Canis lupus familiaris: one gene and its partner. The protein of the gene in region 2 interacts with the protein of the main gene of each other region in a biochemical or structural test. Links are inferred from orthologs where the notes say so. Each region holds a gene or a part of one and is shown on either strand. Other genes may lie near its edges. The genes, in order: RAB11FIP2 and MYO5B.

Region 1 (2,789 bases), on a different chromosome or scaffold from region 2:
ATAGTCAATTTCATATATGAGGACATTGTCCACAATGTAAAACATGGTTCTAGAAGGATTTAGAATTACAGTCAAGGCTATGGTGCACCTGCCCTAGTTCTTGCCTCAGGACTGGCCAGCCATGGTGTGAACTGTTGTCTTGGTTCTAGGCAAGGGCACAGAAGAAGCTTGATCATAATTTGAAAAATCAAAAGTTGAAGTTCAAAATCATTCTTAACTTGCCCCCCACTGCCATGTTCTGTCTCCTAAAATGACCCATCTTTCTCCTGCTCCAGGACAGCAACCCTTTTGATGCCACTGCAGGGTACCGTGGTCTGACCTATGAGGAGGTCCTACAGGAGCTCGTGAAGCACAAGGAGCTCCTCAGGAGGAAAGACACGCACATCCGGGAACTCGAGGACTACATCGACAATCTCCTCGTCAGGGTCATGGAGGAAACACCCAGTATCCTCAGAGTGCCATACGAACCATCCAGGAAGGCTGGCAAGTTCGCCAACAGTTAATAAGCCAGTTGTACGACATGTGTGATGAGGGGCAAAAAGGAAAGAAGAAAGAGCAAAAGAAAGCAGAAAATCTTGGCACTGCAAGAAACTACATTATCAGGCTTCATTACATACTCCACTCCATTGCAAAAAGTTATTTTACCTGTAAATATTAGCAGGGACCATCAAGAGTGACCTCTGAAGTGAGCTAAACAATTTAAACATTTAAAGTGAAAACAGGCAAGATTCCCAATGAATAAGCAGTTCTTTAGGATTCACTTAGGTGCTGGCACTGGGCTACTAACCTGCCATAGGCCTAGGGACAGCTTCAGAAGGATGTGACTTATTATTCCTCAGGAATAGAGCTCATAAAGCAGAATTGATGCTGTAGCTGGTTTCTCAGAAGTCCGTTTGTAGACATAATTAGCTGCAGGAATACCGTTCAGTATAACACTAAAAAAAAAAAAAGTTCATATTTTATATGCATATATATGTACATGAATGTATGTTCATGTATCTTTGTATATAAAATACATGCATATACCTCATAGATACATGTGTTTTTAGAACATTTAAAAACAACTGATTGCCTCTAAAATTAGGATACCAGTTTCTTAATTTGAAAATCTATGTGTGCTCTATCGATGCAGAACAAATCATCATTGCTACTAGCACAGTTTGTTATAGGGAAGCTGCTTCAGATCACTCTTGACTTGGCAAATCTTCGTTTCAAAATGAGCTGCTCCTATATATTATTCCAGCATCAGATGTTTGCTCTTTTTCTCAAAGGAATGATCCAAAGGGTTTTGGGTTTTTTTGTTTTTTTTTTTTTTCAAAGCATGACATGTTATAGGAAACTTGACTAGTGTCACAAGAGTACGAATTTCTTGAGTGAATTTTTTATCTTAACACTTGAATTCTGTGTAAGTAGAAGAGAAGCTAATATAGTCTGTTTTGTTGAGATTCTGAATGCCCTTAAATCCCTAGCAAAGAAAATATTAGGAAGTTAGATCTGAAAGTAATTCTAAGGGAAAAAAAGTAGGTGATCGTCTGATGCCTGATAACCCAAAGCAATGGGCAAATTTTAGGAATGAAGAATTCGGCTTGGTTTCAAGTTACATAAATAATAGAACAGATGGTTGCATTTGGGTCTTGAACCAAAATAAGAGCCATTGAAGGAGGAGTGAATTCTTGGAACAGAACTTCACTCGCATGGCACTATCTACTATTCTTCGGCCACCCTTAAGAATTGGTTAATTACAAAATTATATGTACACTCTTTTTATAAAATCCACACCCCCAAAATATCAGGCACTTGCGTGAATTATCTTGATATATTTGTACTGAATTAGCCTGGAATGTAAAGTGAAAACAATGGTACGAAAATATTACTAATCATCTATTTTTTCCCTTAAAAATCTAAAATACTTACTATGAAACACTGAATCCGTGTCTCTGGTTTTAAATGGAAAAATTCACCTGTATATGGAGACATGTATTCTCCAGGCTTTTAATGAACTGCATTTTTGTCTAATATTTTTCTCCACAGACTTTATTGAAAATTCAGTACAAAGCAGAATAGTTTTGCTCATTTTAATATTTTGAATCAGATAATACTTGGCCAAGTGTATATTCATGAGCTAAAATTGCTCGTTTGTATTTTCTGAGTTTCTTTAGTTTTCCTATGAGAGCATACATTTTGAAATTCTGAGAACTTTTCCTAAATACAAAAAATTGAATAATTTTTTTAAATGAAGTGGAGAAGGAAAAACATCTTTTACCAACTTTTTTTTTCCATTTATAAATTTCTGTAGTAAACCTCAAAATCTGGTTTAGAATGCTATTTTCTCATTTGAGGTCTTAGTAATTATTATTTTCTAACAGGGTGCCATTTTTAGTTAATATGTTATTAAATATTACAAAATTCTTAGCACTTTTTTTCTGTTGGTATAACTGAAACTCTTCTTATACTTTTTAAAATACTAATATCCATGCGTTTTCAGTATTATGACAGATTATCTGGAGATATTTTAATATGCTTCGGCCAAATTTGTTCTTTATAAAATGAACCAAGATGTCAGTTTTATATTGGGGATATGTTTTATGTAAATAGAATTCGTTATAAAGTATTGTTCAAATACTACTATTCTTTTTATGAGGAAATTCATTTCTAAGGAGAGGCTCCACACCAGGATGAGACTGTTAAGGATTAGATTTATCAGACGTGAATGATTTGGTTATAACTGAATCAATATTTTTATCTTTCAATCTGAGACAAGAATTGTACTGAAATCTGAATCTGCACTT
Region 2 (3,822 bases):
TGGGTTCGCAGTGTGTGCCCCCCACGAGTCACCTACCCCTCCTGAGGACGGTGCGCAGAGGTCACCCACCTCCCAGGCAGGTTCACACACTTGGCCCCAGTGACCCGGGCGTCCCCCCATTATACCTGAGTACTCCCCCCATCTCGTGTGGGACTAGGTTTTGTTTTTCATGCTCCCTTCAGCATTGTTTTTTTTTTTTTTTTTTTTTTTAAAGAAAATCTTACCTTCTCTGATCACAGAAAAATGTTCTTTTTAGGAAAAAAAGTGTTCTGGACGTTTCCTTCCAACCTGTCCCGCACCATAGCTTTGAGCTTTGGTGGTTCAGGGGTGCTGTGGTGGAACGGGGGTGCCCTGACCAGGGCTCCATGCATACTTCAGTGTCCTGGGAATAGTGGCCCGGCAGGGAGGCCAGGTGCCCCCCTTCTGACGTCAGCTGTTCACCCTTCGAGTGGGTGAGGTGAGACCCCGATGCCAACATCTCCCTTGCTCTCATGCCTCACTGAGCCCTGGACAGGTCAGCAGGTGCTGCCCCAACTGGACAAGCGCCCGTGCGGGTGACAGCTTCCCTGGCCCCTCAGCCACCCCAGGGGCACAGCGAAACATGCCCATCCTGCCCGCGAAGGTCACAGTCACCCTGCCTGCAGGTGTCTGTAGAGGAGATGAGCGCTGAATCCCTGGGCTGCCATCCCCAGGGCAGGAGGACATAACCCCCGAGCGCCTGAGGAAGGTTATGCACCCCTTCCCTACCTCATCTCTCCCCCGGTCCTGCCCCGGGTCCAGCATGCACACTGCCCACTCCCCTGGTTCTCGGGCCTTCAGCCTGTGGACAGCAGACAGTGGGACTTCCCAGCCTCTGTCATGGGTGGGCCACTTCCTGAGGGTCTCTGTGTATGTGCATTCACACCCGCACTTCTCCTGTGGGTTCCGTGTCTCTGGAGATACTAACGCACTACAGCTCATGGGACCGTGAAAAGATTCAGTGGGAGCAACGATGTGGAACCCCATAGAAGAGAGTCAGGGGCACCCCGTGACGTTCACGGTGGGGACCGTCTACCCGCCGCTGCTTTAGTCCTCTATCCACATGGGAGGCCCCTGGGGAGGCCACACACCTGCTGGTAGATCCTCCGCACGAACATGCCCCTTGCGAAGGCCTGGATGACAACGGCGGCCCCACGAACCCTCTGGTAGGCCTGGCGGGCCCTCCACATACGGCACTGCTTCTGGAGCACGATGGCAGCCCGTGTCCTCCGCAGGTGCTCAGCCAGCCTGGAAAGGGAGGGGCCCTGCTGATGTGGCCTCGAGGCCCCTGCGAGGCTGGCCTCTCCCTGCAGCCCTGCTGGGACTCTCAGGGCCCAGCTGGCATCAGCCCTCCACACAGCCATGCCATGAGGACTCGCGTGCCAGCCCTGAACGGCTCCAAAAGCTCCCTCCATGTGGTCTGTCTTCCCACAAACCTAAACTCAGTCTGGGTCTGAGCAGCTCCACAATGCCCCTGGGCTCAGTCCCCACTGGGAGCCCCAACTCCAACCTGGGCAGTCCCTGGGGACACCACGAGTTTACGCTCCTGCCCTATGCCCTGTCTCCGGATGTGCAAACCCGGGAGCCAGGTCTCCAACATGCTTGCCTGCGACACCTCAAGAGGGTCGAGCCAACAGGTGCTTGTATGTGTGCTGATGGCATAAACCCTTGCCAGGCCCGCACCCGCCTCCCCCTGCTTCCTCGTCTCCCTGCCCTTTCTGCTGTGACACATGGACACCCAACCTGCCTGCTTCGTGCCAATGTTCCCCTCCGTGCCCCCAGGTGGGATGGCTCAGCCTGACACTTCTCACCCACTTCAGGGCTTTGGGTGGCACCAGGCTCAAAGCGAAAAGGCCCTGGGAAACCATCCAGGAGAGCCTGTGGGGGAAGTGGGGAGGGGCCTGCGGCCCCACCTGCTGGAGTGAACCTGTGCAGTCGAGCACTTTCTCCCCATGCAGCCACCGGAGACACAAACTCCCTCAGGGAGAACATGGACCGACTTGGTTTCAGATTGTCGCCGGCTGCCAGCTAGGGTGAGCTTGCAGGTGCAGGCTGCTCTGCCGGGACCTGCTGGGTGGCTTGACTGTCCACAGCCACCTAGTGCGGATGCTGCTGACAGCTTTTCACCTCTATAGCTTCTGTTCCAGGGGGAGCACCTGGGTGGCTCCGAGGTCACCTCTGGTTCCATTCGGACAAGCAGCTCAGAGCAGGGATGGGAGGGCAGGCAGGGGCCAGCTTCGCGTTTACAGTACAGAGGATGCCTGCTCTGACATGTCACTCACAGGCTTTCTTTTTCCTTCAATATTGCAGCAGATATGACTCGATGGCCACTCCTCCAAGGTAACCCCCTTACGGGGAGAGCAGGTTGTGCGCTGTGGGTAGTCTGACGGGCACCATGCGCCATGTGCCCTCCCAGGGGAGAGGCTCACTCTGCTCTGGTGCCTCATGGGCCCAGGAGATCGGGGAGGAGGGGAAAGGTCTGCCACATGGAGCCGGGTGGGCACCCGGCCCCCACCCACCATGTTTACACAGGTCAGTCCCTAGCTCTGTGCAAGGACGCACAATGGGGACCTGGGGATCCCTGGGACCTTCCCGGCTCTAATTACCAAGTTCCTGAGGGACTGTGGGGGGGTCGGGGCTTAAACCACAATGCTCAGTGGAAGCTGTGAAAGGCGGGGTTTGTCTATCTGAAAGGCTACCCTGGGATTTGGGCAAAGGAAACACGGTGCTTTAGGGGCAAACCCAGCCCATCCCAGGTTAGTGCTGGTGGGATGGGGACAGACTACAGGGACGAAGAGGCTTGGAACTAGACTCAGTCCCCCAGGTGAGAAGTGCACAGGTGACAGGTGCCCAGTCTGCACATCCCCACCCCACACCCCAACCTGCCACCCAGATGGGCCCCAGCGTGGCTCACCTGCGGGCCAGGTGTCCTCGGCAGTACCTCTGCAGCGTTAAGGCCGCTATCTTCAGCCGGCGGTACTTCACCCTCTGAAGCCAGCCCCGGACTGTCTTCTGGATCATGATGGTAGCGGCCCGGAACCTGTCAGCCCGAAGCTTCTCTAGGTAGGCCACCTGGCCGGCCCGGAAGAAAATCTTGGTGCGGCCAAACTGGAACTTGTCAGGATCCTTTAGCAGGCAGGGAGGGGAGCACCAGTGAGGTCACCTGTGCTGCCCCTGTCCTCCTGTGCATGGTTCCCTTGCTAGAGCCCCTTGGATGCTCAGTCCCTCTAGCACCCACCGAGCACACCAAGTTCCCTCCACTAGATTCACGGCTAAGATGTCCGGGGCACAGCTGTGAACGGGACACCTGCCCTCAAGCAGCTGACATCACGGTGAGAGCACAAAAGGCAAAGTTTTCAGGTAGCGGTGAAGATCACGAAGACAGTAAAACTGGGGATGTAAGGGTGGGATGGGATGTTTAAACAGGATAATCATCCAGGAAGGCATTTCTGTGGACATGACATGTGAACAGAAATCTGAATAAACTGAAGGCAGGCAGTCCTAGGAAAACACAGAGGAAGAAAGTTCCAGAAGAGCAGGGAAGGGGCAGGTGTCCTGTGCCAGCCGAGAGCTACATATGTTTGCAGAGCAGGAGAGCCTGGTTCAGGGCAGGGGCGGGGTCGGCAGGGGGACTCAGCAGGGGTCCTGCAGCACACAACGGGACAGGAGGCCCCTGGTCACGCTCTGAGCATAGAAATGACCTCCTCGGGTCCTCTCAAAAAGATTTACCCTCAAATCACCACGCTGGTGCCTGCGTGACTCCAGATTGTAATGCTCCAAATAACTTTTATTTGGTTTCGATAT

Evidence for each region.
Region 1: the proteins of MYO5B (region 2) and RAB11FIP2 form a complex in vitro, tested with the Homo sapiens proteins (2 studies listed by BioGRID). The link is inferred for Canis lupus familiaris from reciprocal best matches to the Homo sapiens genes MYO5B and RAB11FIP2.

What each region holds. Positions count from the first base shown.
Region 1 is NC_049249.1:28,717,213-28,720,001, reverse strand, and holds part of RAB11FIP2 (rab11 family-interacting protein 2), read left to right. Parts: intron 1-275; coding exon 276-503; 3' UTR 504-2,789. UniProt on the Homo sapiens protein: A Rab11 effector binding preferentially phosphatidylinositol 3,4,5-trisphosphate (PtdInsP3) and phosphatidic acid (PA) and acting in the regulation of the transport of vesicles from the endosomal recycling compartment (ERC) to the plasma membrane.
Region 2 is NC_049228.1:79,032,522-79,036,343, reverse strand, and holds part of MYO5B (unconventional myosin-Vb), read right to left. Parts: intron 3,145-3,822; coding exon 2,933-3,144; intron 1,267-2,932; coding exon 1,110-1,266; intron 1-1,109. UniProt on the Homo sapiens protein: May be involved in vesicular trafficking via its association with the CART complex. The CART complex is necessary for efficient transferrin receptor recycling but not for EGFR degradation.